Linked DNA regions of Coturnix japonica. The protein of the gene in region 4 interacts with the protein of the main gene of each other region in a pairwise test. Links are inferred from orthologs where the notes say so. Each region holds a gene or a part of one and is shown on either strand. Other genes may lie near its edges.

Evidence for each region.
Region 1: the proteins of CYTH4 (region 4) and CNKSR1 interact in binary tests that used the Homo sapiens proteins (3 or more experiments, as listed by UniProt). The two-hybrid records come from large-scale screens. The link is inferred for Coturnix japonica from reciprocal best matches to the Homo sapiens genes CYTH4 and CNKSR1.
Region 2: the proteins of CYTH4 (region 4) and FOS interact in a two-hybrid assay, tested with the Homo sapiens proteins (2 studies listed by BioGRID and IntAct). The two-hybrid records come from large-scale screens. The link is inferred for Coturnix japonica from reciprocal best matches to the Homo sapiens genes CYTH4 and FOS.
Region 3: the proteins of CYTH4 (region 4) and IPCEF1 interact in binary tests that used the Homo sapiens proteins (3 or more experiments, as listed by UniProt). The link is inferred for Coturnix japonica from reciprocal best matches to the Homo sapiens genes CYTH4 and IPCEF1.

Annotation. Positions count from the first base shown.
Region 1 is NC_029538.1:259,511-267,169, reverse strand, and holds the start of CNKSR1 (connector enhancer of kinase suppressor of ras 1), read left to right. Parts: upstream 1-3,183; 5' UTR 3,184-3,243; coding exon 3,244-3,295; intron 3,296-3,610; coding exon 3,611-3,768; intron 3,769-4,412; coding exon 4,413-4,603; intron 4,604-4,681; coding exon 4,682-4,766; intron 4,767-4,772; exon of another isoform or gene 4,773-4,786; coding exon of another isoform or gene 4,787-4,861; intron 4,862-4,936; coding exon 4,937-5,329; intron 5,330-5,405; coding exon 5,406-5,465; intron 5,466-5,832; coding exon 5,833-5,901; intron 5,902-6,094; coding exon 6,095-6,214; intron 6,215-6,328; coding exon 6,329-6,408; intron 6,409-6,733; coding exon 6,734-6,846; intron 6,847-6,922; coding exon 6,923-7,068; intron 7,069-7,223; coding exon 7,224-7,254; intron 7,255-7,346; coding exon 7,347-7,519; intron 7,520-7,599; coding exon 7,600-7,659. Other genes in the region: ZNF593 (zinc finger protein 593), read left to right, coding at 1-144, 485-547, 658-799. UniProt on the Homo sapiens protein: May function as an adapter protein or regulator of Ras signaling pathways.
Region 2 is NC_029520.1:34,665,067-34,672,515, reverse strand, and holds FOS (proto-oncogene c-Fos), read right to left. Parts: upstream 3,992-7,449; 5' UTR 3,831-3,991; coding exon 3,690-3,830; intron 3,259-3,689; coding exon 3,010-3,258; intron 2,893-3,009; coding exon 2,785-2,892; intron 2,674-2,784; coding exon 2,068-2,673; 3' UTR 1,307-2,067; downstream 1-1,306. UniProt on the Homo sapiens protein: Nuclear phosphoprotein which forms a tight but non-covalently linked complex with the JUN/AP-1 transcription factor. In the heterodimer, FOS and JUN/AP-1 basic regions each seems to interact with symmetrical DNA half sites.
Region 3 is NC_029518.1:45,230,961-45,238,462, forward strand, and holds the start of IPCEF1 (interactor protein for cytohesin exchange factors 1), read right to left. Parts: upstream 5,183-7,502; 5' UTR 5,006-5,182; intron 4,902-5,005; exon of another isoform or gene 4,661-4,901; intron 2,552-4,660; exon of another isoform or gene 1,714-2,551; intron 1,338-1,713; exon of another isoform or gene 1,282-1,337; intron 1-1,281. UniProt on the Homo sapiens protein: Enhances the promotion of guanine-nucleotide exchange by PSCD2 on ARF6 in a concentration-dependent manner.
Region 4 is NC_029516.1:46,897,622-46,904,627, forward strand, and holds part of CYTH4 (cytohesin-4), read right to left. Parts: intron 3,447-7,006; coding exon 3,328-3,446; intron 2,950-3,327; coding exon 2,869-2,949; intron 2,223-2,868; coding exon 2,110-2,222; intron 1,533-2,109; coding exon 1,384-1,532; intron 1-1,383. UniProt on the Homo sapiens protein: Promotes guanine-nucleotide exchange on ARF1 and ARF5. Promotes the activation of ARF factors through replacement of GDP with GTP.

The DNA.
Region 1 (7,659 bases), on a different chromosome or scaffold from region 4:
CCGGCAGGCGAAAACGAAGCGGCGACGTCGGGACCTGGATGAGATCCACGTGGATCTGCGGCCTGAACGGGCCGCGCGGCTACTGCGCCAGGAGCCCGACCCCGACCTGCCGGGATGTGCCCAGTTCTACTGCCTGCATTGCGCGTGCGTGGGAGGGGGGTCTTTGGGGGCGAGTGGGGGCTTAGAGGGGAGGGAGTGGTGGTCAGTGGGGGGGTCATGAGGAGGGTGGGATTCCTACAGGGTAAGGGCGGGGGTCCCCATGGGGAGGAGTTCTGCAGGGGAGAAGGGGTCTGAGTGGGTACTGGGTTATGGGGAGGAGGGGCTCCTGGTGTGGAGTTCTGGCTGGAGAAGGATCTGAATCTGGGGAAGCTCTGCCTTCTGGGCACTGACCCTGGGGTGCTTGTTCTGGAGGTGAAGGATTCCCAGATCCATACAGCTCTATACTTCCCCTGACTGTGGCCTTTTGCTCTTCTCTCCCCACCAGACGCTATTTTGTGGACCTGACAAGCATGAAAGAGCACTTCAGATCCAAGGTGCACAAGAAGAGGTAATGGGGGGTGCTAAGCAAAGCTGTGCCCAGCCCCATTCCCAGTATAAGAAGGGCAGTGGTGGTGTCGGACTTGTCCATGTGCTTCCCACCCATCTCTGCCCCAACAGGTTGAAGCAGCTGAGCGAGCAGCCCTATACACAGGAGGAGGCCGAGCGTGCTGCTGGGATGGGCTCCTACATCCCCCCAAAGAAGGTCCATGTGCAGACCCAGTCCCTGGATGAAGTCGTGGAGATGGAGGCATCCAGCTGAGTGTCCATGCACAGGCTCCCTTTGTCACTGTGCTGCTGAAAGGACTCTTTGTTCAGCTCTTTGCCAGGCGCTAATGAGAAGAAGCAGCCAGCGTGCTCCTGGGTGCCCTGTCTGCAACCCCATTCCTGGGGGCAAGCATGGGTTGCTCCATGCTGTGCAGTGTTGTGCTCACTTCTTTGCATTCAGAGAGGTATTAGGTGCCTCTGCTGGAGTTAGAGGTTGCATTGCCATTAAAATATATCAATGAAAACACCGGTGTTTGAGCTCTCTGGGGCAGAATGGCAAAGTCCCACTGTTCTTCCCTCATAATGGGGAGGAATCCCCCACCTGCTGGGGGTTATGCTTCTGAATGAAGTCTTCATCAAGCACTTGGGTTTACTGTAAGCAGGTCACAGTGGGACTGCTCTTTTGGGCCTTGAAGAGGACATGCTAGTGTTCCCCCCCAGCAGGTACACTTCTAGGCTTGTAGAAAATCAGTTTAGGTCTGGTAGAACTCTGCAAGTGAGGGACTGGAGCTGTGCATGCTGTGTGATATGGCCCTCCTCATTGCATCCCCCCACCTGCCTCTGCTGATCACACAGTGTTGTGTACCTGTGCTTCTGCTGGTTGCAATACTAGTACTGCTGTGTTCCTGCACTGAGCCACACATCAGGGGTTTTTCCGCCCTGCTGCTTAGCAGCGTGACAACAACACAGCTTTGTTCAGAAGGAAAGGATTTATTTCCATGCACACTGCCTGGATTTATTCCCCCCTGCCTTCAGAAATCAAAGCGACCAAGTCCAGCTGTCAGCATCCAACTCTCTGCTGGGGAGAGCAGCCCCACTCTCTGCTCAGGGTTAATGAGCATGGGGAAGGGGAAGGCTGTGGTTGCACTGGAAGAAGCACTGACTGTGCTTTTTATCCTTGGGCAGGAGGCAGCCTCATGTCCACACATATCAGAGGCTTTTCCTGGTCTCAGTGCTCTGTTACCTAATGCTGCACAGAGCTGACCTCCTTTCTGCCTCTAATAGGGGGGGGTGGATGTGGCACTCAGCTCTTCCATCTTCTGGTCTTGTGCCCAGTCCTCGGGCTTTGCTGGGGTGTGGGGCTGTGCTGGTGGCCCTGGGTGCTGCTTGCTGCATCCCTTCACGTTGTTGGGGGCTTGAGACAACTTTGTGTCCCATCCTGGTGGCATCCCAGCTCCCAAGACAGGGACAGGTGTATGTTCCCCAGCTCCAAGGCATGGATGGGCAGGATGGGGCAGTGGTGTAGGTTGTCTGGGGAGAGCCACCATCCCAAGGCCTAGATGGGGACCAGGAGACCATCCCCACAGCCCATCAGGGCTGTGGGGGGGCCTTGGGGGGCCCAGCCATCCTCCGGGTACTGTAGAGGGAGAGGCAGAGCCCAGCAGCTGCCAGCAGCAAAGCCATGGAGGGCAGCACCCGCTCCCTGGGCTCAGCCCCACGTCCTGCTGCCAGCTGCATCTGGAGGAGATAAAGATGACGGCAATGGCAGACCCCAGCCTCAGAACCCCAACAGGGGCGTTACATGGCCTGAGCACCCCCATTGCACCCAGCTGATGCCTGATATGTTATTGGGGTGACCCCAGCACCCTCACAGCCTGCTTGGGGGCATGGATAGGGCCGAGTGCAGCCCCAAGGCCCGCTGGCCACATGGACAGGATTGCTCTGCAGCCTGCAGGCCTTGCAGGCAGGGCCCTGGGCTCCCCGTGAGCCAGGATAGGGCTGAGCACAGCTCTGTGGCCTTCAGGCCGCGTGGGCAAGATCTCGGGGTCCCCCTGAGCCCCTTCCCAGCCCCACGAGCACCTTACCTGGAGCAGGCGGAAATAGCCCGGGGTCAGGCGGCGGGGACGGATGATCATGGTGCAGAGGGAGGCAGTAGGTCGGACCCACGGCCCCTCCACACACGGCTGGTGCGGCACGGCTGTCAGCAGCGATCAGCGCCCGCTGCTCCCCCAAGCGCACACGGTGCGGCGGGGGGGCATGGAGGCGTTTCAGGGGGGATACAGGGCGGGTTTGTGGCTTGGAAATGACATGGTTGGAAGGGAGGCAGCGCCTCGCCTCAACTTCCCTATTGCAAATAAATCGTGCTCAGGGGGGACTCCAAAATCCCGCATCAGTGTGGCTGCGTCAGTGCTGGGAGTTGTGCCAGGCCTCAGCTGTGGTGCAGGGGGAGTCACAGCTCAGGAGGTGGGAGTGGAGGATGGAGCTCCCTGCAGTGAATGCTGTCCCTGTGAGGGCCTTTGATGGCTGCAGGCCCCTGTCTGCTGCGTGAGTCACTTGGGTGCGTCGTGGTGCCTCACCCCACCGAGCTGTACTGGGAGGGAGGGAGGGAGGGAGGAGAGGAGGCAGGAAGCTGCGGTGAGCAGCACTCAGGTCCGCCAATGGGGCCGCCCTCACCTGGCGCAGGTGAGCAGCGACGAGGGCGGTTCCGGCCCTGCCGCCATGGAGCCTGTGGGTGCTTGGGGCCCTGCACAGACTGCGGCCTGGCTGCGAGGTGAGAGCCCTCTGCCCCAAGATCCCCCCCTGGGGGAAGACCTCAGCCCTCAGGTGGGAGGGTTGCGTCCCTGCTTTGGGGGCAATGCTGTGGTGACATTGGGAGCCCAATGTTCCCCAACCTTCACTCTTCCCAAAATCCTGAGGGATTTCAAAGGGAGAGCAGTGGGGGCTGTGAGCACGGTGCTGGCTGACACCTGGTGCCCTCATTGCATGAATGGAACCAGGTGTCACCTCCACCATCAGGTCACCCGCGCCAGGGGACAGCAGACGGGTGTCAGGGCCTCCCCCTCACCCAGTGCCTGGCTCTCAGCAGGGCTGGACACAACCGTGCAGGGGTATCTCTTTGAGGAGTGGGGTCTGGCAGGAACTGAGCTACTGAGGCTATCAGAAGGAGCTCTGGAGGCACTGGGAGTATGGCGTGTAGGACACCAGGAGCTGCTGCTGGAGGCCGTGGAGCAGCTCCGAGCTCTGGTGAGCAATGGTTCAATGGATGGTGGGGTCTGGGATGGATGGAGGGGGGACATAGAGACAGCTGGATGGAAGGAGAATGTCAGGATACTGTGGGCTGCAGGGAAAAGGAACATGGGAACACTCTGGGACTGACGGATTGAAGGGGAACATGGATACAGCTGGGCTGGGTGGGACATGGAGGGTTATGCAGAGCTGGATAGAGCAGGGGGACATGGGGATACCCTGGGCTGGTTTGGAGGTTGAGGAGGACAAAAGGGGATGCCTGAGTCTCATTAGAGTTGAGAGATGGGAACACTTCAACAGAAGTTGAAGGGAGACATGGAGATAGCATGGGCTGGATGGAATAGGATATTAGGTTACCCTGGCTGCATGAAGAGGGGGATATCTGGGACACTCTGCACTGCATGGGTGCTGAGGAGGTGATGTGAGGACACAATGGGCTGGATGGAGGAGGGATACAGGGATACTTGGACTAGATAGGACATGAGTAGTTTCCTAGGGCTGGATGGAGTAAGGAACAAGGGGATGCTCTGGGATAGATGGAGGTGGGGACAATGAGATTGCCCCAAGCTGTGGCAATGGGAAAGGCTGGGGCGGAATCCTGGCCACCCTTGGCCACTGTCCTGGCCACGTCCTCACTGCAGGACACAGAGCTGGGGAGCACCAGCCTGAGGACACTAACAGAGAGGCTATGGGAGCTGGCACAGCGCACTGAGACCACGGTACTGGAGGGGTCACCTGGAGGGGCCACCCTACCGCCACCCCCCATCACCCTGCTGGCCTGCGTCGTCGATCTGATTGGAGCTGCCAAGAGGCTCTTCTCCTGGCTCAACAGGTCTGGGGCAGGCAATGGTCAATTATGGGTGCTGTGAGCACATCGCCCTGGTGCTGAGCTCTCAAACCTCCGCTCCAGGTACCTCTTCTCCACCCTGAATGACTTTTCATCCACTCGGGACATCGTTCTGCTCTGTGCCCACCTGGTGGAGGTGCTGCAGATGGTGGGTGGCCACACAGCTACATGACCATGCTGATGGGCACAGCACAGCTAGTCAACCTCCCATCCCCTAAACCCTGGAGAAGGGGGAGAGATGGGGTGAGGGAGGAGGTGTTGGGGAGGGCTGGAATTCAAATGATCTGTTTCACTCACCCCTGCTCTTTTTCCTCCCAGGACTGCTCTACTGCAGAGCGGAACAGCCAGATTCTGTATATAGTGAGTGCTGGACAAAGAAGGGGCTGTGGACATGGGGGTCCCAGCAGTCCTGGACCCACCCCATATCTACATTTTTACCCACAGTGCCAGCACATCATAGGCATCTGCAAGAGCATCGTGGGCTGCAGTCCCCCAGCACTGCTGGACCGCAGGGCCATGCTGCAGCATGTGGAGCTGGCACTGCCCCTCACACCACGTGAGAGCCCTCCAGATTCCCCCAGCACCCCCACGCTGCCCCCTGAACTGTGGGGCAGCCCCCCACCATCCCCCAGCACCCCAGTGCTGCCTCCTGAGCCACCAGGGAGCCCTCCAGCATCCCCCAGCACCCCGATGCTACCCTTCAGTCCACTGGTGAGATACCCACTGCCCCAGTACCCCTCACCCTCCTTCATCCCTCCTCACTCACAACTTCCCCACTGCACTGCAGGGCCTGGAGATCACCTCCACCAGCTCCTGCATGCACTTTGTGTCCATGACCAGCTCAGAGGTAAGCTGGGGCCTGTTCCCTTCTTGTTTGTTACTGTCCTCTGATGCCACCTTGTCCCCCTTTTTACCCTTGGCTATTTGGAACACTGCAGCCTGTCGGGCTGGGTCCTGGGAGCTTCTTAGGCCTTGTACCACCCTCCTGTCGCCAGACTGCTGGATGGCTGCATGTGGCTGAGTCTGGGCAACTCATGCCATGAGTGGCTGCAGCTCATTCCACCATCCCCCACCCCTGGACCCTTGGGGCTGCCTGGCACCAGGGTCAGTCCCTGGGTTAATGGTTAACCCCACTCTCTCCGAGTCACTCTACCTTCAAGTCCTCCCAGCCCGGAAAGCTCCATAAAGTTCCCTGTTGCCTGTATCTGCCTCAGGCCCTGGCTGTGCACGGGGGTCGCATCCTGCCCGGGGATGAGATCGTGCAGGTCAATGAGCAAGTGGTGGTGAGTTGGGGACAGGGGCACATGGGGATGCTGGTTTACCTGGGAGGAATCCCAGTACAGCTGGAGCTGTGGGTTGCTTTCCTCTGGCTGGGAAGGATTTTGTGAATGCAAGAACGTGAAACAGAGAGGATGTGGGGACCAGGAGGGCACATGGGGCCAAGCTGTGACCCTACTCACCTGGTGCCCTTGGCAGGTGGGTTGGACACGCATCAACCTGGTGAAAAAGCTGCTGGAGAAGGCGAGTGGAGTGTCACTTGTGCTGAAGAAGGTGCCCCTCAGCCTGCCTGGCTGCCCCCTGCCCACCAGGCTGCAGGTGAGCATTCCCAGTGATCCCAGTGCCGGACTGGGCTGTGCTGGGAGACAGCCCTATGGGAGGTCATCCCAAAATGCGACAATGCAAGGTGAAGCACTGAGTCTCCATTCACAGGTGCCAGGTGCCCATCTGGATGGTGTGGATCTCCCCAAAAGCAGCAAGTGCCCGAGCAGCCCCTCGTCCCCTGCATCCAGGTGAGCCCCAACCTCGCGTCCCTTCGCCACAGTGCAGAGCCTTTGTGCGAGCAGCCCAGGCAGCTGCCAGGAGTCTTAAGCAACAATATAAACAAAGAGAAGTGCCTCTGTTTGTAATTAATTCACTTGGTAACATTTTAATGGGGAGGGAACTATATTTAGAAATGACCCTTCTCCTCGCCCGGAATGGAAAGAAGCACATCGAGCCGTTGGCTCCGTGGGCTGAGCTCACTGCTGCCGGGAGCTTTTCCGGGCGGGAGCAGTACTGGGAGCCCCACAGCCGGGCAGGGGGCACTGTGTGGCTCAGGGGACCCTTCTCCCCCAGCACCACTGCCGACGTGGACTCAGGGCCGGACCCCACCGCTGACAAGGACAAGCACAGCACAAGCCAGAACAGGGAGGACGTGGGTGAGCTCCAGCCAGCAGCACTCAGCCTCGGTATGGAGTAGGCTGAGGGGAAGGATTCATTTCTCCCCCAAGGACAGGACGCTGCAGCCTTGCTCACTGTTTACAGGTACTGGGGAGGACGCAGTGCAGGAGGCCAGCACCCCACCAGGCACCCCAAGCTCACTGTGTGCCTTCCAACCCTGCACTGCAGAGTGCAGCCCCACAGCAGCCCCCAGGGCACAAAGTGCAGAGCCCAGCCAGACCCCCAGGGAGGTGAGAACTGGTGGGAGCATGGAGCTTTGCGGGGTATTCATGGGGGACACGAGGATCGTGTTTAGGGGCAGCTTGCTGCTGAAGGGTGGGCGAGGTGGGGGTCCCACGAGGCTGTGGGTGCTGCATTGCTTCACATTGCATCTGTCCCCATCCAGGGCAGCCCTGAGACGGGACGCAGACCCAAAGGTGAGTGGGACGCCACTGTCCCCAGGCTGGGGTGAGGTGGGCTGGGGGCTCGTCCCCCTGCCCCGCTCCTGAAGCCCCCCAAAATGCTGCAGGAGTGGCGACCAGGCTGAGCCGCCGGCGGGTCTCATGCCGGGACCTGGGCCGAGTGGATTGCGATGGCTGGCTCCTGAAGAAGAAGGACCATGTGGGCTTCATGGCCCAGAAGTGGAAGCGCTGCTGGTTTGTGTTGAAGGGCCACACGCTCTACTGGTACAACCACCCCAACGTAAGTGAAGATGCCCTCGCACCCTGCCACCAGGCTCTGCTCCAAGGCGGGCAGTGGACGTGGCTGTGTGTCCCCCACAGGATGACAAGGCTGCAGGTCTCATCAATGTGGCCACTTACAACCTGGAGAGCACAAGGGAG
Region 2 (7,449 bases), on a different chromosome or scaffold from region 4:
TCACTGCTGCCTCCAGCCGTGTGTTGAAAGACGGAAGCAGCACAAGTGATGCTCGCCTTTGCACAGCGCGGGTGGTGTTGAGCAAGCCCTGAGCAGTGCAATACACACTGCTGAGATGAGGTACATCCTGTGCGTGTTCTGGTTTGGAAGGGGTGAAGAAAGCAGAGCTTGCAGCCATAACCAGGAAGCCTCCAGTTGCACAAACCTAACCCTGAATGCTAGTGACCTCCAGAGTCCTGCGGAGATTTCCTGAGCATGCTGTCACGGGATCCCAGAATTGTAGGAGTGGGAAGGGGCATCTTGAGGATCACTGAGTTCAACTCCTCTGCTAAAGCAGGTTCCCTGCAGCAGGTCACACAGGCAGGCAGCCAGGCAGGTCTGGAATATCTCCAGAGAAAGATGTCAGGCACCTCTCTGGTCAGCCCATCCCCGTACTCTGTCACCCTCAAAGTAACAAAGGCTTTCCTCAAAGGAAAAAGCAATCCTCGGCCAGCTGCATGTGCCAGCACAGGTGGCATCTTTGCCATCATCTTGGAAATGACATTCTTGATCAAGAGATGAGCAGAAGAGCCTCCTGCACACAGAGACATTTGCCCACCAAAGGAACATTTTTTGCTGTGCAGGCAGCAGGAGGAACAGAGAGCAGCAACCTCTTCACATGAGCCAGAGAAGAGTCCAGGCTGCACAGACAAGACCCTGGTGGGGAGAGAGCTCATAAGCTGCTTGCCATAGCTTGCATTCATCCAAGGACCAAGAGAACCAATACAAAACACTGAGGAAATGTATTGTGCCATATGTTATTTTGTTCAAAGAGACGTGTGCAAACATCATGAGAAGACATTCAGTAGCTGCTCCTGCAGTAGCAAGCCCAGGACACACAAAGCAAGGCTGCAGTCCCACCCCTCCCTATGAAGGAAGAAATTGGGCTGCCAGCCACATGCAAGTGACAGAGCAGATCCCAGCACAGAGATGGCCCGGGCAGTTCAGGGGGGAGACCCCTCCTACGCCTCTGGTTTATCACAGAAAGGCCACGGCAGGCAACACACAGAGGTGCACCAGCCCACGGAAGCCGGAAGGTCAGGGGAGGGGTGGCCCCACCAGCGGGTGGGAAGGGCATAGGCACAGCCAGGGCTGACTAACACATCAGGGCAATGACAGATCTGCACTTAATGGTTTTCCCACCCCAACGCACCCTACGCTTACGGCAGTCAGATTTCGGTAAAGCCCAACCCCAAGTAGAGTTCAGGGAGCCCCACTGGGGTCAGAGGGAGTAGCGCAAAAGGTAAAGTGAGGACAGCACCAGCACTCAACTTAAATGCTTTTATTGACAATGTCTCTGAACAATAATAAGCAAACAATGCTTAAGTTTCATCCAAATTCACTTTCCACATGTCAAAAAAGACCTCAAGGTAGAAAAAAATAAAATAAAAATATAAATATCTGAGAATCCATCTTAATAAATAAATTAAAAACACAATAAAAACGTTTTCATGGAAAACTTATGTCAGAACATTCAGACCACCTCAACAACGCATGATCAGTAAAGTTACAATGAACATCGATGTAGAACTACAGTACATGGATATAGCTATTCATCTACCTACTAGAAAATAAAATAGAGTCTCTTTCCCCCCCCACATAAGATGGGTCGTTGCTAAGAACACGATATTGCCAGGAACACAGTAGTTATTGTTAATCAGCTGCACTAGATACAAGTCGGAGATACCCAGCACCAGGTTAATTCCAATCATTTAAAACCAAGGGATTAATTAGTTAATGCTAGTGATACTAAGGAGGGGGGGAGTCACCAACCCAGCCATGTGGGACATGCTACAGACTACCAGCTCTCACAGATGGGCCGTTGGGGACAAGACAAACTCCATGCGGTTTGCTACATCTCTGGAGGAGGTATGGGCCCAGGCACTCCATCAGGCCCCGGGCCTCAGATGGATGGGGTGGGGGTGGCGGCGGCAGTGCCCTCCCCAGGCCCGGGGGGCGTGGTGAGTCCGTGGGGGTGCGTGGGCAGGGGAGGGGGCCCGGCAGGTCAGTCAGTGCGGGGCGAGCCCCTCACAAGGCCAGCAGGGTCGGGGAGCTGAGGGAGTCAGACGACGGCTCGTTGCTGCTGCTGCCCTTCCGGTGTGCGGCAGCACAGCTGGGGAAGGCGTCCGCCTCGGGGTAGGTGAAGACGAAGGTGGAGGTGTAGGTGCTGGGGCACGGGGTGCAGGTCACCACGGGGGTGCAGAGGGGCTCCAGCTCCCCGCTGCTCCCGGCGCCCAGCGGCTCCCAGTCCGACGCGTAGAAGGAGGAGGCTCCGGGCAGGTCCATGTCAGGCACGGAGCGGGAGGCCTCCCGCGGCCCCGTGGAGAAAAGCAGCTCGTCGAAGGGCTCGGCCTTCAGCTCCAGCCCGCTGCCGCTGGGCTCCTTGGGCGGCACGGCCGGCGGCGCCTCGGTCATTAGCGGCAGGGCGAAGGTCTCCTCGGCCGCGGCGGGGCTGGGTGCGCCCAGGTCCAGCGCGGTGGCGGCCGCCAGCTCCTCGGAGAAGCGCAGCTCCTCGGGCATCTTGCAGGCGGGCCGGTGCGCCGCCAGGATGAACTCCAGCTTCTCCTTCTCCTTCAGCAGGTTGGCGATCTCCGCCTGCAGAGCGGACTTCTCCTCCTCCAGCTGGTCGGTCTCCTGCGGAAGCACAGATCGGGCCGTCAGCCGGAGCCAACCTCACCCGCCCGCCCCCACCCGCGGGGTCCCGTCCCCGCCCCGCAGCCCCCGGGATCCCGGGGCGGCACTCACCGCCTGCAGCGTGTCGGTCAGCTCCCGCCGCCGGTTGCGGCACTTGGCCGCTGCCATCTTGTTCCTCTCCCGGCGGATCCTCCTCTTTTCCTCCTCCTCCGGGGACAGCTGCGGACACAGAGGGCGGTCAGCGCGTCCGTCAGACCCCCCGCCTTTCCCCGCGCCCCGGCCCCTCTCCCGGCCCCCCATTTCCACCCCCCTCCTCTTCCCCTTAGCCCCGCTCACCTGCTCGACTTTGCCCCTTCGTCCGATGCTTTGCCCGCGGCCGCCCGGCGCCTTCAGCACGGCGGGGCGGGAATAGGCGGCGGGGGGAGCGGGCGGCGGCACGCCGTAGGGGTGCCCGCGGTTCTGGGAGGGGGCGACCGAGGAGATGAGGGTGGGCTGCACCAGCCACTGCAGGTCGGGACTGGTGGAGATGGCCGTCACGGTGGGTACAAAGTTGGCGCTGGACACGGCCAGGTCGGTGCAGAAATCCTGCGGGACATAAAGTGGGGGGGGGGTTCGGTGAGCGGGGGGCTGCGGCCGACACTCCCCTCCGAGCCGCTCCCCGCCGCCCCCGGGGCCGCGCCGCCAGCGCCGCTCCGCACGAGAGCGGCCCGATATAAATATCTCTGACGTCCGCGCTGACGCAGGCGCCGCTCCGGAGTCTCCTCAATGAACTCGCGTTTTATCAATGAAGCCGCTTTACACACCCGCCGCAACGCGCAGCCCGGACCCCGGCTCCCCCCGCCCGCCCCGCGGCGGCGTCGCGGCCGCTCCCCACTCTGTCCCCGGCCCGGTTGAAGCCACCCGCCCCCCTCGGGTCCCGCATCGCCCCGACCCGGCCCGAGGCGCGCCCCCCGCACCCATCTCCCCCCAGCACCCCCAGAGCCCAGCCCCGCGGCGGCCGCGCAACGGCCCCTCACCTGCGAGTTGACGGGGGAACCCATGCTGGAAAAGGAGTCCGCCGGGGACGGGTAGTAGGTGAGGCTGTCCCCGGCCGGGGAAGCGCTGCTGCAGCGGGAGGAGGGCGCCTCGTACTCCCCGGCGAAGCCCTGGTACATCATGTCGGCTGTTTGCGTGGCCGTGCGGGGGCCTTGCGGTGCTATAGCGGAGCGCCTCGCGGCAGAACGCAAAGAGGGGCCGGCTGCGTCCCTGTATCCGCTCCGCGCCGCGCGTCTCTGTCTCCGCTGCCGGAGCTGCCTCTGCCGCTGGAGTATCGCTCGGCGCCAACCCTTTATATCCTGCTCCGCGTGAATCGCACACGTCACGCGGGACGCACCACGCCCGCTCGCGGGGGGGGCCGCTCTGCCCGCGTCCGCCTCGCCCCGCTCTCCCGGCCCCGCCGCCCGCCCCGCTCCGCCTCCAAGTGCGGGGAACGACGGCACCGCGGGGCGGAGGAGGCGCGGCGGGGCGAGGGGAGCGCGGCGGGACGGGCGGGAGGAGCCGCTCCGGGATAACCCCCCCCTCGCGGAGTGGTACGGCCGGTCTCGGGAACCCACTGACGCAGATATCCTTATATGGGATACATCCTGTGCGAGGGGGCGTGACTGACGGGAAGCGCTCCAGGCTGCGGCCAAGTGCGGCGCGGGACGGGACGGGACGCGGTGGGACGGGGCCGCCCCGACCCCCCCTCGCGGCGCTCCCCCGCGGCCGGCAGCCCCCGCCCCGAGCGGCCCGGCGGGGCTTCGTGCTATGGGAGCCGGCCGCGGACACGCGTGGGGTGCGGAGGGGCGCGGCGCCCTTCGTCCCCTTTGCCCCGCGGCGGGAGGGTGCTCAGCGCGGCGGGGACGCGTCCCCCCGGCGGGGTCACGCACACGGAGGGCCGGGAAGGAGTGCGGGGCGGCCCGGGGCAGGGCAGCTCTCGGGGAAGCCCCCCGGGCGTCGGGACGGGGGCACGGGCGGGGGGCGCGGGGGGAGCGGCGAGGGCGAGGCCCGTCCTTTCCTCCAGTTTGGGTTTTGTTTTGATCCCCGTCGCGGCGAAGCCCGGAGACACCCACCCACGGCGGGGATGTCGGCAGCCCTGGCTCGGGGCAGGCAGAGCCGGCGGCCAGACCGCAGCCTCGCCTCGCACGGGAGCCAAGAGATCGCGGCTATAGATAGTAACAGGGAAGCTGCAGCGGCAGCGTGTTTACAGCAACAAACAGAGCCCGCAGCGCAGTCTCCAAGCAGGAGCGTCACCCGTGCAGGCTGGGATCCTGCTGGCAGCCTCTCCCGCTCTTTGAGCTCACAGTCTAAATGCGGCTCCTGATGCCGCTGCCGCTGTTGCCGCGCGAACAACCTCCGTTCTTAGAGATCTGGGCCACGGGGGCGGGAGAACTGGGCCAGCTGCTATTTCTGCGCTGCCCGTCAGCGCCGAGGGGACAGCCAAGGACTGCCGCAGCGCACGGCTCCGCCGTTCCCGGCCGAGGGGCCCATGGGCCGGCGCTGCTCTCACCGGCTCCGGGCCTGCCAGGGCTGCTCCCTCCATGGGACCGGCCCGGACCCCCCGCCCCTCGCTCTGGCCGCAGCTCGGAGAGCCGCCCTCGGCGCTGCTGCCGGAGGGACGCGCCGCAAACAGGCGATGCCGTGACCCCAGCATCGCTGCCACGTCCCGGGCAGGAGCAGGGGCAACGCGCCACAAACCGCCCGGTGTCCCTCTGGCCAAACTGCACCCAGAAGGAAGTTTCTGGAAAGCAGGTGAAAGTGGAGTGAAAGCTCCACCGACAGCCCCGAATGTTTTTGGGTGCCCGTGCAAACAGCGTGTTGTTGCCATCTCTACCGGTGACCCAGGGCACCGTGTTTGTATCAAACGGAAAGTGCCCAGGTGCTGCTGTGCATCTCCAGCACGTGCCGCTGAGGCAAGGGAACAGAGAAACCGAAAACACATGACGTGGGTTTGTTATTTGCTCCAGACACGGGGTGCGCACCATGTCTCCACAGCTAGTGTGAAAAAAAACCAAGAGGAAGCAAGTGGTAGCACAGGGCTGCACGCAGGCGAGGCACGAGCCCTTTGCCCGGGTCATGGCCGTGGTTCTGCGTGGGCATCACATGCACCCAAAGGGGATCTGGCCCTGGGTACCCAGGGGAACACATCTGCCTGCCCCCCGGCAAGCTGCTTCCTGTGCCCTGGTCCCAACCACCGCACAGGAACTTGTGCCCACTTCCACACCCCACCCTAAGCAGGGCTGTGACAGCGTGGGCTTGGGAAGTCACGGCAGAGAAGCGCCCGGGATGTGTGGGACAGTGCAACCCGCACAGCCCACACCGCCTCCTGGGGCAGGTGGCAGCCGTGCCCACATCTGGCTGTTCACCAGGGGAAGGTTCATGTCGCAGTGCAGCCCATTGGCAGCCAGCCGACAGCTCCGACCCACCCCTGCCCACAGCACAAAGCATGGAGTGGTAACATGGCCTGTTCTGTGCTATAGGCAGCATGGAGGGAACCCTGGGCAGCAAAGCATGCCCGCACCATCAGACAATCCACACGACCACTGGAACGCCCACTGCAGTATGGACTTGATGGGCTGTAGTGTTGTATTGCCGGTGCCCTTGCTCACTGCATGTGCCACCAGCACAGCACTAGGAATCCCCTCTCCATCTGCCTGCCTTGGGCAGAGGCTGCAGTGCTCTGGAGTAGTTAGAATGAGATCGCAGTAATCGGAAGTCTAATGGGGCAGTGATGGGGCCTCCTACTCATTGGGCAGCCGAGCCGCAGTCGTGCTGGAGCTGTGGCCCCACCACCCAGCCTGGGAGCTGCCAGGAGGCTCCCACCTTTATTGCAATGCATACCCAAAGCAAATTATAAATAGTAATTAATAATCGCAGCAGCTAGGTGTGTGACAGGGACGTCCTGAAGAATAAACACTGTGAGTGGAGACATCCCGGCATCTTGTGGTCGCACAGCCCCATGCCATCAGCTGCCAATTACCGCAGACTGTGCCATTGATCTCTCCCACCTGGCCCCATTGCTCTGCCCGGCGCCTTTCCCTGCACTGTGCTGGCTGCAATGCTGGGCCCCCGAGCCTATTCCAAGTGCTGACAAGGCTGCACCTTGCTCACAGATGGTGAAGCTGAGTGGCACGTTGCCCATCACCACGCTGCCCTGTGCCCTGACAGCCCTTGGCTCAGCCCCTGGCAGCAGTGACCCCAGGAGCAGCATTTAATAGGCTGGAACATCTTAAGCACAAAGGTCCCTCGGCTCCTTGTGCTGCCTGCACAGAGCTGGCACAACGTGACCCCTTATCTCTGCGCCGTCTGGAAGGCGAAGGCGACAGGCGCGTCCCGCAGTTATCACCCCAGGGCACCGTTCCACCTGGAGAGGAGGGAAGAACACCTAGAACAAAGTGAGCAGACACCTGGGGAACTGCCTAGTATTTGGAAGTGAAGCCTCTGCAGTGAAAGCTCCTCTTCCCTGCAGGCCAAGAGGTCATGGTGCTTACACAGGGGGTGAGGAGGCTGGGTAGGGCCGGGGGCCCTTCCGTGTGCAGCTGGCACTGTGGCTCTGGAGGGAACTAGGACAAATGTGAAGGAGGAAGTACTGAGATCAAGGAGAAAAGGGAGGTTGTGCTTTGGGTGGAGAGCAAACAAACCCGACTCAGGGAAAGGGACAGGATGTTGGGGATTGTTTGGCTCAGGGTAGAGAGAAACCCTCTAATTGTTTTGACTGGAGAGCGCCCGGGGGAATAGCTCAAAGGGATTTCCAGGACA
Region 3 (7,502 bases), on a different chromosome or scaffold from region 4:
AGTGCCTCAGGACACCAGTGCTGAAAAGTTCACTCAGTGTCAACCTCAGAAGTGAGGAGGCCTGAGTTTCAGCCACCATGCTGGGTTCCCATACATTAATAAGGTGTTGTGTGGATGAACCTTGCAGACATCAAACATGTTTCTGTGTGGGGAGTTGTCTTTGCTCTAATTTGGAGATGTCATCGAGGATCTTCAGCAACAGCCAGTGCTGAATTACTCAACAAACACTCCAGCTCCTCCAGTCACAGATCATTCCCTGTCATAGATTAAAGGAGGTACTACAAAGAGCAAGGCCACTAAGATGATGCAGGGAGCAGAGCAACAATATGAGGAAAGGCTGAAAGGCCTTCTTAGCCTAAAGAGGAGGCTCAGGAGGTTCTTATGTACATATGCAAATACCTGAAAGGAAGGTGAAATGAAGACAGAGCCAGGCTCATTTCAGTACTTTCTAGTGCCAGGACAAAAGGTAATGAGCACAAACTGGAACACGGGACGTTCTCTCTGAGAAACAGGAAATGCTTCTATATTGCATGGGTGATAGAGCAACAGCAGAGGTTTCCCAGAGAGGCTGTGAAGTGTCCTCCCAGGGGATCTTCATAAACCACAGGGGGGCTGGACCAGATAGACCCAGAGGTCCCTTCCGACCTCAGCAAGTTTATGACCATTCTTGCTCTATCTCCAGACATGCAAACAGGGCCTGTCAGCTGCTGTGGACATTTCCTAGAAAAGGAAGAGCTCAACAAAGGTCCATGGACACTGGGAGGACAACCAATTAGCTCAGAAGTTTTCCTGTAGCCAAACTCTAGAACAGACCCTCACTCATCCATTGACTCTCACCACAGACTCAAACAAGGACTTGTTTGCAGTGAGGGCTTTATTATCTTAAATACTTACCATGTTTGAGATTTGTTTTAAGTTTTGACTGGAAAAATCAAACCATTTATGTGATTTTTTATCCAAATCTGTACACTAATTGGAAAAATAAGCAGGAATTTTAAGTCAAATTCACAGCTAACAAAACTAAACACAACTGTGTCCCATTCTTCGGTTCAGCCATTCTTGGAAGCCCATAATTTGACTTTCAGTCTGGTATTACAGTTTTAATCCACAATGACCATTTTTTTGATATTCATTCTGATGAGGGTTTCTTAAGAATATGAATGTATTGCTAAGACAGAAGGAATTGAAAAGAAAGATTTTTTTGTTAAAGGGTTAAATGGCGCCTGATAGTCTGCAATCTATCAAGGTAGGCAAACAAGGGGGGGGGGAAAGAAACTCCACCTTGTAAATAAGGCAATTGCAAATCCAGTTTCTACAATCTGGAACAGAGCCAGGACCTAAGAGAGAAGGATTGAGAGGAAAATAAGTTGTAAATTCCTCCAAGGTAAAGTTCCTATTTAAAATGCAAAGATACCAGTTTTAGGAAGGTCATGAAATCACAACGGGCTTTCTTTGAAGTTCAACTCTGAATGTCAATTTGACCCCCTTTTAAATGGGGAGCCAGACACAGCTGCACTCCAAGTGCAAGAAAGAGAACAGCAATGATTAACATGATGCTTTGCACTGAAAGTTGTTAGCCAATGGGACAGGGGAGGGAACCACAAAAAAACACTTTCAAGATTCTTTACTGGCATCATAATCTCAACGACTGAAGATTTATTGTACATTCTCAGTTTAAAGGGAAGGGGGAAAAATAAAGTAAGAGAAACATACCTCTCATACTGGCATAACGTTGCATCTTGTGTAACTCACATCAAGAGTTTGAGTTGAGACAGACTTTTTTCCTTCTTATGATGAGGGGACTTGCTGTGCTATCAGGGAAGCATGGCAACTGGTAGATCTATGCCTTGACTTTTCAACTATATGCTCTTCAAAAAGGTGTAGCAAGAGCTGACAAGTCCTGCAATTTCATCTCTGAGAACTCTTACTGAAGAGTAGTTTAAATCTGAGCAGGGTTAGAAATATATGGGTACACAAACGTATACCCACAAATATACACTTGTAAATGCATTCATATTGCTCAGCAATTTCCACTAAAACTATAAAGCCAGACTAGAAGGTTCACTTGATCTTTCCCATTTTACTGATAAATAAACCGTGGGTATTCTGACCAGTTGATGGTGAATGGAGACACTACACAGTGTTGACAAACCAAGAAGCAAACCGTTCCTTCTCTTGGTTTTTAATTGAAGGTTAGTTGAACTCTGGCACTCTCCGCTTTAAACAACTACTGGCAACAGAAACAAAAGACAGGGCATAATTTCATTAATACATTCCTTTAGTCCATCAAATATTCATCATTTGCATTGCCCAGATATATTGCTAGAGGTGATGAAGAGGCATGTACCAATAATAACACAGTGATGTTCATTCATTGTCGAGAAGAGGTAAGTCCTGCTTACCTCTAAGAAGAGTCCCGCTTTCCAAGGGAAGTAGAAGATACCATCATATTTAAAAACATTAAAGATCTGTCTCTAACTCTCCAAAGCTCTCTTTGCAGCAGAACAAAGCCTTGGTCCTAGCACTTCATTTCTTCTCACCTTTCACATAACTGTGTACAGATGTAAAAGTGACTGTTGAGTGTCAAATCTTGCCACGCTATCTCCTATGTAGCCAAAGGCCTCGTGTCAAGTGTTCCTACCACTTTCTGTTACTCATAGTCAGAAAGGTGACAGATCGTTCACAGAAAGTCTGTTCAAGAAAGATCTTGGCAGAAAAGTGGTGGTAAATCCTAGTACAAAACTACCATAGTACCATAGGTCATGACTCAAACCAGCCAGTAAAGCTGCCATGTTTCAGGCAGTTCATATCTGAGCATTCCCAGGACACTCTGAGTTGTAGTGCAGCTCAAGCAGAGAAAAGAAGATATAAGTATCTTGCTTATAGTTCTCAATGCATTTGAAAAACAAAGGTTATTAATTATTAGTTTTTAACTTAGTTTATTATTCTCTTACATTGCTACCTTGCTGCATATTAATACTCCCTAAAAAACTTAAAACTCAGCTCCCCTAATCAAAGGTTGTTCCCACTAATAAATTGCCTATTCCGTATTTTTATACAAATTATTTTACACAATATGAGTCATATTGAAATTGCTCTAATTTAAATACTTATGTTTATTTGCATGACTAAGCATTGTTTATCAGTAAACTTGGCACTTCGCATCTTCAAACATTTTAATTGCATATACATCAGTTATCTGAAAATGTACCCAGGAACTAATCTTGGAATCATATGCATACACTCATCTACTGCTTCCTGAAATAACTGATGCTTTCCCATGTGCACTGAATCACAGTCAAGGTAACAGTCACAGGCCTGAAGAAGCATTTCTTACTTATGGGAAAAAATGTATGGTCCAGAGAGGAGATAAAGATTACCAACTAGATTGATTTGTGCAGAACTTCCTCTGATTCAATTTTCTGGCTATATCCCCTTGTCCTATTTGCCATGCACTGCCAAAAGGAGTCTGGACATTTGCATTCTGAACCTTAGATGTTTATAGACATTGATCAGATACCCACTGAGTCTTCTTTTCTCATGGCTGAACAGACCCAGCATTTCCTCATAATAGAGGTACTCGAGGCAAAACTGGAAAGAGATTTTGAGGAATCATTAAGTCTGCCTCTCCCATCAGGTCAATTATACTTGGACTATTCCTGACAGAGGGCTACCTAACATGTTTTTTAATTGCAGCAAGTAACAGAGGCATCACAGCTTCCTTCAGATCTCTAATTCAGTGTTTAATTCTCTTAGTAAATAAATTTTTACTAACTTTCAGCCCCATGCTCCATTTAAGCCTATTACCTCTTGTCCTATGAAAATTAGCCCTATAGTTTCTATTTATTTACAGAAATCTTTATCACGTTTTTTCTTATAAGAACAAATCAGTCACTTAAGACTATTCAACACCAATTTATTCAATATTTTCTGAGGAGCCAACACTCCCTGAGCAAAGAGTCTTTAAAATGCCATTGCCCCTCCTTGTAAATTATCTGCTGTAGTAAGTACTCCATCTTCAGTGATGGGCACTGCTGGCCTAAAATGATGGTAACTAAAAGGAATGGAAATTCTCCATTAGTTTGGTTAATAAGAGACTTTCAGGAAGAACCTGCTGAAAACAAGAGCCCCAAATCTTTTCACTGATCTTTGCTTATAAGTACATACATATAGTGATATATATGTGTGTATATATGTGTGCATGTATGCATATATCGAGCCAACAAGTTATTTGAGCAAGTCACCTCTGCATTGCTTTTTCTATTCCAAACCCAGACACTTAACTTCTGCAACTTAGACCTTAATTTTTAATTTTCTTTTTTGTATGAACGTGCTTAGAAAATAATTAAATCATGGATCCAGCGTGCTGTGGACATTTACAGCTGTACAGTTCTGCTTGTTACAAAATGTGCACGATATAAATAAGTGAGAGTGTCAGAAAGGGGTAGAACATAAAAAGTCACAGCGTGCTCGCTTGCCACTATCAACAAAATATCCCAGAGAAAACTAAATGCATCCTATTAGCTGGAAAACTAAAGCTGCCTGATGTGTAGGAAGGACAGTATCTGTCTCCCCTAATCCCTACTACATTAAAAACAAAACAAACAAAAACTATTCACTCAATTATCACTCTGTTTGTCTCATTATTCTCTCTCATTACCTTTTTCTGTATTAAACAATCTACCACCAAGATTAGGTTGCTGAACACATAAAATTAAGGCTGCACAAGACAGAGGCTGGGTTTCCATTTCCTGGCCAGTGCCAAATCTCCTGACTGTTAGATGAGAACAGCAGACACAGAATCCACCCCATCTGAGGGATCTCCTCCTGCCTTTGCACGACTCCCACATCCTCCTCAGGAAGCACTGCTTGAAACATAACTTACACTAAGCAGATCACACCTGAAAAATGTATAAAACATCATTACTTTAAAACAAAACAACTTGTATAAATTGCTCATAATGTACATCGTTACTTCAATCCTCTGAATACAGTTTTAACTTACCACAAGTCAAGAGATCACTCGTAAAGTTTGCATATGTGAACCAAGAGGGCTGCCCGGGCACCTAGGACTACTTCCCCTCTTCCTTTTCTTACCACCCCCTCAAAACTGCCCCATGAATACAGGAAGAGAGATCACCAGCTGCCTGCTGAAGAAAACAGCCCCTGAATAGTATGCATCATTCAGATGATTTGGATGATTCAGTGTTTCCACATGAACTCTGCTGAAGATGCACACAAATGGCGCTTTGTGCATTTCTGAATCGCAAGCATAATTAATAGTCCAAGTACATATCAAAACAACTTCTATTTGAAGAATAACCTTCCATCTAAAATACAGCACTGTATCTGTTACAATACAAGAGTTCCAGTTCTCAGACCTATTAACAGCTAGATTCACTTGTGTTTACATACTCCAGCATCTCCAGCCTTTATATACCTATCTAAAAAATCGTTCTCAAAAGTTGCAGTGAGCAGGACAATGACAAGAGGATCTAGTGGCAAACTCATCATTTCGAAAGCCACCTGATGTGATGTGCATTGGTTTTAAGCTGGAAGGGCTGGGAAGGAACAGAAAGGCCAGATGTTGCTTTCTCAGATACCGCAACACAGTAAGCACCTGTTTTGTTCCTAGGCATTTCACAGACTTAACTGCAGCTACATTTTGAAGGTTCAAGATGCTCTCACTATTTAGTAACTCACAGGAGAATACCATTAAAAATTCCCAGATATAGGCTGAGAACAAATGAACACACATAAACAAAATGAATGTACTTAGTGTGGTGCTCAAGGATGAAGAAATAGTATCTGTTTTTGCTTCTCTAATTTCCCTTTCTCATTTATTCAGAAGTTCACTTGATTCCTCTCTGTCAACAAGATCCTACTTTTATTTCAGCCCTGTAGCCATAAATCAAGAACGGCCCTGTTAAACCAAACAGATCAGATTTGACACAAAAAAAAGAAGAATCAGACCTTGTGCTGACTTGTTCCTTCCCGATCTGCCCTGTTAACTTTCCAGGAGAAGTGCTTGTTTGTCCTAGAGAACAAAAGCAGCATGAGCATGTAGAACCAGCCCAAGGTGCTCTGCAGGAGACACACAGTTAGTTGTTGTCTGAATCCACATGCAGCACCCATGCCACCACAGACTACTGTGCTTCAGCAAAGATAGAAGGATTGAAGGTTGCAAGGTAGGTAGTAATAACAGAATGCCACCAGAAACCATGCATATATTTTTCCACCAATGGTTTGTGAGCCATACTTTTATTTTCATCACAACTGAATTTTGCTTCATCTTAGGATGCAGACATTATACATATGCAACCTGAAGAGCTTGTGTCAAACTTGTTAGGCTGGTGCAACTTGCATCCTACAGCTCCTATCCCGAACCAGTGCTGTCAGATTCATCCACCCTTGCCAAAACATTTCCCATCTTACCCAGCTACCCAAGCAGCAAGCACTGTGTGAGACCAGAGTGTCCCAAAATCTTCTGAAATTTGAAAATGTGCCAAATATTTCCCTAGAGACAGTGAAATCCACATTTGCAGGAGTGAAGCTGGGGAGACTTCACATGTCAGTCAGAAGAGCTAGTTCAGGATTTCTGAAACTCTGGTGGTGGTTTTTTTGTTCCCTGCCATTTCTTGTAGTATTTTTCATGGCAGCTTCCAACCATACTCCCTCCTTTGGTAAACCACTGGGGAAATGAATCATGATACTGAAATTTGAGACTCTCCCACATCCTGCTAGAAGATTCCCCCACACGCAGCCCATATTCATTGTGAGCACAACTGCAAACTTTATTCAGAAGCAACCCAAGCACTTTCCTGTGGCCAGATTCACTCACAAGAGTACCCCCTGGTGTTTGTGCCTCACCTTGCAACATCTTGCTGCTCATCCAACTCCAGCTTCCTTGTCTCCTCTCCTTCGACAAAGGACCTTCTGCCTAATGCTAGTTGAATTAATGCCCTCCTGTACAAAAAGCCAAAACCATAGGTTGTCAAATCTATTGCAGTTTATTGGGACCAATCACATCACCAAGGATCACACTGTCACAGTAGGACACCAGATGTATGACCCAGCCCATCATTCCATCTTCATGGAATCCCGGTATGCAGGGATGAGGGTTATGTGACTCCCGCCACATGGAAAAGCAGTAAGGGAGATGGAAGGAAATCCCCTACCTGACCACCTGCTAGTGAAAAATCAAACCCATTCCTGAACAAAGCTTCACAGAGCAGCTCCTGCATGACAGCAGGAGTGCACCACTGAGACCACCACTGCTTCTTCAAGGGTTAATGCCAAGACATGTTTTGACAGCATCCCATGCAAGCACTCCCCACTGGGAAATAATTAGATGGATTTGATCCTACATGTTTGCAACTCCTGTTTCTTCTGCAAACAAAAGCTTTCTAGACCTGTACTTTGGGAACTGAGCCAAGTCCATTCTCAGCTCCTGAGAGGGAGGAGAGAATCTACTGCTGCAGTTGGTAGGCTCCTGCTTACCG
Region 4 (7,006 bases):
GAAAGACATATTTCTGACGAAGTTGTACACAACCATTTCAGGTCCATCTGGTACATCACTCTACACAGGGGCAGGTGAATGAATGGGAAAGGAGGTAACAGTGAGCGTTAGCCCTCAACAGCCCTCAGTGTACACCTCAAAATGCTTCAAGAGTGACTGCAAGCTTCTTTCTGCACCCTGAGTCAAAAATAAAGGAAATCCATTTTGGAAACCATGTAATTCATCAGGACTGGCATCAGTGACTGACCACAGTATGTCATACGGGGACAGCTGAGTATGACAAGGTAGTACTAAGGATGTTAGGGGGTAGGAGGGGGCTGACAGTGACTGCAGCCCCATTTAGGCTCTGGGTTGGTGGTGCACCTTCCAATAACTAAACAGTCCAATAATAATAACAATCACAAAATGATAGGGGTTGGAAGGGACCTCTGGGAAACACCCAGTCCAACTATCTGCTAAAGCAGCTTCCCTACAGTAGGTTACACAAGAAAGTGTCCAGCCAAGTCTTGAATATCTTCAGAGAAGGAGACTCCACAAACTCTCTGGGCAGATTATTTCAGTGCTGTGTCACCCTCAAAGTAAAAAAGCTTCTTCTCATGTTTGTATGGAACTTCCTGTGTTCCACTATTCAAAAAAGCCTGGCCCCATCCACTTAATTCCCACCCATTAGATATTTATAAACAGTGATGATATTCATCCTCAGCCCTCTCTTCCCCAGATAGAACAGTCCCAGGGCTCTTAGCCTTTCCTCATGAGGGTGATGCTCTAGGCTTCTCATCATCTTGGTGGTCCTCCACTGGGCACTCTCTAGAAATTCCCTGTCTTTCTTGAACTGGGGAGTCCAGAACTGGACACAGTACTCCAGATGTGGCCTCAGCAGGGCAGAGGAGAGGTGGACGATCACTTCCCTCTACCTGCTGGCTATGCTCTTTGTAATGCACCATTGGCTTTCTGGGCCACAAGGGCAGAAGCTCGTGGCCAACCTGCTGTCCACCAGGATGCCCAGGTCCTTCTCCTTGAGCTCCTTTCCAGCAGGTCAGCCTCTGACCTGTACTGATGCATGTGGTTATTCCTCCCCAGGTGCAGGATTCTGTACTTGTCCCTGTGTAGAAGGCTACCACTGTTCACTGCTATTCTCTGAATGTCTCTCTTGCTACACGTCCTCACCAACAAGCATGTCTGCAGTCACTCTCCAAAGCATTTTTCATGTTTTCCAGCTTCCTTTTTTATACCTTTTTCCTCGAGCAGCTCTCCCCCTTACAGGGCAGAAGGTCAACAGTATTATACTACGCTGAGATCAATGGACCTTACATTCACAGTGAAGCCTGACCCAGAGAGAAAATAGGGACTGATGATAGAATAGGAGATCAAAACCTTTCTTACCTTTAAGAGTTCTTCTGGCAGGTCTGCTCCATCATTGATGCCTCGGTTGATGGACACAAACCTTTCAAAGGGGGGTTTGTCTTTCACATTAGGGTTGTGCAGGCTGGTGTTAAGCATGATAATAGAGAAGGAGAGTATATAACAAGTATCTGTCAATGAGAAAGGAAACCAGGACTGATGGCATTTTTCTTACAGAGCAGATAATCCACATGCTAACAGGTGACTAGGCTTCTAGTTGCTTGTGAGCAGCTTCAACCTTTCAGATTTAGGAGGAGATTTCCCCTCTACCAGGTGTAAGAGTGGTAGATGGGGCTTGGGGAGAGTTGATCTCCTGTGATGGAGACAATTCCCAAATAGGCAATTTGGGCAGATCTGGTCAGGTAACAGATCTGCTAGCAAGGAAAGTTCCTACAGACCCGTGCCTGTAAGTGGTACCCATGCAGCAATGAGACATGTTTCACATGGGGCTGGAGCACTTCTCAAGCCTACTCCCTGTTGGGATGGGCTGGAGCACAGTAGAAGAAACAGGACAGAAGACCATCAGCCTACTGAAAAGTACTGAAAAGGTACTACTGAAGTATCTTTAACTTCAGGTAAGGGAACATGAAAGACAGCATCCATACTTTCAGAGGATGCTTTCTATGCACTGTGATTGGGAAAAGAAGGCTCCTCCCTCTAACACACAGTGGATCTTTGTTTTATAGGCCTTCTCCTCCCTATAAATACCTGTGGACTGGAATACTCCTGGGTTACACTTGCAGTACCAGTTGGCAAAGGCCTCCATCATGCGGTCAATTTTCTGTGCTTCCCCAGGCAGCCGGAAGCTCCATAGGAACTGTCTAGCAGGAAGAGCATGCCAGAGAGTTAGTCAGTTTGTGTACAAGGAATCCTTTCCCTCAGCTCATGAGACACTATGGAAATAATGGATGTTATCTCATCACAGCATGAAAATAGTGCAGCACATCAAGCAGGAGATCTTCTCCTTTCTCTAAACATTTCTCTCGCACATTCTAAAAAGAAGAAGCAGAGCTAAGCATCCTGTAAATCATGGCTCTTCTTCCCTACCGAGCATTCTGCAAGGTATCAGGGACCTCAAGAGAGAAAGCCCTGCCAGAAGACCTGCCTAAAGAGAATGAGATGCTCTAGGACAGAGTCACTTCATTACAGACATAATGGGCACTGTGAGCTAATGTATTTCCTAGTACAAAAAATAACTTACCCTGCCCCCACCACCCACTGAAATCAGAACAACCCACCCACCTCACTATCCCCATCTTCTCTGAACATGGCTAGTCCATTCAGAAGGCCATGAAGGAGGTCCACCAAGGAAAAGTATGTTTGCAATTCATAGACCAGAGCCAATACGCACAGCACAGACTTGAGAAGCCCAATCTCGTCCCACTGGGGCTTTCATGACCTCTCTGGGTGGTAAGACCCAGTGGCTGGACAGGTTCCTGCTCCATTTGTTACTTCTTGAACACCCACCTTAGTGCTTGTACCAGGTTGAGGTTGGCAAACTGGTGACATGCCACAAACGCTTGGAGAATCTGAATGTTTTTGGAGTCTCTGGGAGAGGAGAGAGGGAAAAGGTCATTAGACAGCTTTGTCCCTGCTCTGTTTGGATGCTCCTTGGTGTGATCACAGGCATCTTGCTCCCTCCCAGACTCCCTTTCCCCTCAACCAGCAAGAAACCAAGATGTACGGGCACCACTCTAGTCTGAGAAGACTGACTCTGGTATAGATGGAAAGACAGGTAGCCCATGCAGCCAGCCTCAGCCACACTCCAAAGGACACCTCCCAGTGTACACTGCCCACCCAGCCCACTGTAGGGTGAGGTTATGTTCAGCATCAGCATCTGCCAGGGGTTATCTAAAATGGCATCTGAGAGGGATTAGGCAGAACAGGGCATCCAAAGGACCTCCTTATCTCATTTGGGTTTCTTACCTCCCACCCAGGTAATCTCCGATGGCTGTCTTGTTCAAGCCTTCACCCTTGTGGAGGAATTTGGCGATCTCCTGCAGGTCTGAGGACAATAACTGCTGCTCAATCAGGTACTGGATCCCCTGGAGGAGGGCAAGCAAGACAGCAAAGTAAGACAGATCTTTGTCTTGGTGTGAAATTAGAACTTTAATATTCTAATGTCAGACTTCATTGGCTTTGCTGATATTGTCTACTGTTACTCCTCAGTCTCTCTATGGGAGACCACAGCCACATTCTCCTTATTCCCACCATTTTTATCTACTGTGGTGGGCTGGTATCATGCTCAGTTCATTCCTAAACTTGGATGAATGTTTCACTGAACTGGAAACTCAAGTAAACAGGAAAGGGTAGCGTAGCTCTAAAGTTCAAACAGCCACGTATATTTAAAGTTAAGTCAAAAGGGTTTATTTTAACATTCTTGGTCAAAATATCTTAGAGTTCTGTTCCTGAAAGTCAGGTTTCACCAAAGAAACTTAAAGGGAAAAAAAACAAGCCAAAAAACTGTTTGGAAATAAATAAGAAGATGGTATCAAAAAGGGTATTCAGGCAGAATTGTAGGCCTGAGACTATATCTTTTTCTTAAAGTTTTTCATAGGCCACTGAACAGAGAAGTCAGCAACCTGGTAAACTCCACGCTCCCAAGCCAATAAGAATGGAGTGTGTGATCTTTAAGGAAGACAGAGAGTCTGAATCAGGTTGTGCAAACAGCCAACATTTTATTTTAGAGAGAGAATTTCATCATTTTCAAAGTCACTGAAATCTGAGCTTTTGTTCAGCTTAAGAGCACTATCTAAAAACACAGCAATTCTCCAGATCACACTGCAATTCTCCTCACAAAACACAGTAAAGGAATGAATATTGTTTTAGATATATCAAAATGTTCTACTTCAACAGAATCAATTCACTTTGCCTTGCAATATATAAGAATCTATTTCTAAAACGTCCCAAACAAAAATCAGTTTCGAAAGAAGAAATTGAAATGTTTGGGAGATTTCTCCACACTGTTTTCCTTCCTTTTTCCCCAGATGAAATTTCAGTTAGATCAATTTAATTTTGCAAATTATTGCAGTGATGGTGGAGCTCCATTTTCCAGACTAGAATGTTTCTCCCAGAAGATTTTGTTCAGCCATATTTCTAGTGTTTACCTCCTCTAGCCTCAGGAACTTACCCTGAGCATGTGGAGATGGGAACTCATTTCATCAGTATTGTGTAGATGAAACATAAACTCAGCAGGGACAATGAAAGTTCCCTGCATTGCAAGACCTACCAGACTCTAGTTATGTATCAAAAGAGAAACAATAAAAAGAGATCAGTGTGTGCCTGTTCTAAACTAAAATCAATATAGGAACATAGTACAGCAGTTGGACCGGGCTGATCAGCACTGAACTAATAATGCTAAAACGGTTTGGTGTCAGGATTAGTTCAGGCATTTCTGCATGGCATGGCAAAGTGCCATAGAAAGAGATGCCTCTGGGGCCTCAAACCAAGGTCAGACATAAAGACAAAAAGAGAATCTGCTATCACATGATCTGGATGTCCTGTTATCAGTGCTCAAAGGCAGCTCCCACCAGCAGAGGGATGTTGCATGCATTTCCTATGCAGTGTAGAAGACAACTTGAGGGTCTCAGCAAGGAGGCATGTAAAGCTGTCACACAGACCAGCAGCCATCCAAGATGATAGCTGCAGTTAGCTTACAATGAACAACTGTTCAGTGCAGACAGTTTTTCTTTATGGAGTTAAAGAAAAATGATCCACCAGTGAGGAGGAAGGAAGAGGAAACTGTCTTTCTCATTTATTTTCTACTTAGTCTGATTTAGAGCTTTCTGCTGAGGACGGAAGGCTATGGAGTCTAGATCTCACTGCTAAGAGCCTCAGAAAGTGGAAGATACACAATCACTAACCAGCACTTGCAAAACCAAAACTACTTCCAGAACAACAAGGTAGCTTGGTATTGTGGGAGGTGGAGGAGGGGATTGCCAAGCTGCTTTTCACCATTAAGCAGTCCTTATCAACTGGGGAGGTCTCAGACATCTGGAGATTTGCCAGCGTGATGCTCATCTACAGGAGGGATTGGAAGGAGGATCCAGAGAACTACAGGCCTGTCAGCCTGACCTTGGTATGGGGAAAAGTCATGGAGCATATCATCTTGAGCACAGTCATATGGCGCATGCAGGATGCTCAGGAGATCGGGACTAGACAGCATGAGTTTGTGAAAAACAGGTCCTCATCTCCTTCCATGACCAGGTGACCCACCCAGAGGATGAGGGAAAGGCTGTGGATGTATTCTGCCTAGACTTTGGTGAAGCTTTTGACTCAGCCTCCCACAGTATTCTCCTAGAGAGGCTGGCAGCTCATGGCTTAGACAGGTGTACTCTTCACTGGGTAAAAAACTGGATGGATGGCTGGGCCCAGGGAGTGGCAGTGAATGAAGTAAAATCCAGCTGGTGATTTGTCAGTAGTGGTGTTCCCTAAGGGTGAGCATTGGGGCCTGTCCTATTTAATGTCTTTATTGACAGAATGGATGAGAGTATTGAGGGCACCCTGAGTAAATTTGCAGATGACACAGAGTTGGGTGGAAGTGTTGATCTGCTTGAGAGTAGGAAGGCCCTTCAGAGGGATCTGGATAGGCTAGATTGATGAGCTGAGACCAACTGTATGAGCTTCCACAAGACCAAGTACCAGGTCTTGCATTTTGGTCACAACAACCCCCTGCAGTTCTATAGGCCTGTAGCAGGGTGGCTGGAAAGATGAGTGGTGGAAAACAATCTGGGGGTATTAGTCAACAGATGGTCAAACATGAACCAGCAGCATGTCCCTGTGGCCAAGAAAGCCAATGAGATCCTGGCTTGTATCAGCAATAGTGCAGCCAGCAGGAACAGGGAGGTGACTGGGTGTAGTGAGGCTGAACCTCAAGTGCTGTGTTCAGTTGGGACCCCTCACTACCAGAAAGACATGGAGGCCCTGGAGCATGTCCAGAGAAGGGCAGTGGAGCTGTGAAGGGTCTGGAGCACAAGTGTGATGGGGAGCGGCTGAGGGAAATGGGGTTGGTCAGTCTGGAGAAGAGGAGGCTCAAGGGAAATCTTACCACTCTCTAAAATGACCTGGAAGGAGGTTGTGGTGAGGTGGGGGTCAGCCTTTTCTTCCTGGTAATAGGGATACAACAAGAAGTAATGGCCTCAGTTTGTGCCAGGTGAGATTTAGGTTGGATATTAAGAAGAATTTATTCTCAAGAGTGGTGCTGCAGCTGGAACAGGCTGCCCAGGGAGAGAGGTGGTGGAATCACTGTCCCTGTAAGTGTGTAAGGAAAGGGTAGATATGGTACTTAGGGATATGGTTTAGTGGGTAAAATTGGTGACAGGGGGATGGCTTGACTAGATGATCTTACATCTTAATGATGCTATGATTCTATTCATCCTGACTGCCACACAGTCAGAAGAGGTGGACTGAAGAATGTTTAGCTTCTCTTGACACACAGTGTTAAGCCATCCTTCCTTTATTTCTCTTAGTTTTGGGTTGTATCTGATGAAATTCTCTATAGGCCCCTATATGATGTGGGGAGGCAACACAGATTGATCATATCAGTGTATTTCAGAAATAGCAAAGAAGGTGCTTCTGACTAGAGCCTTACTGAGGTAGGAAACCA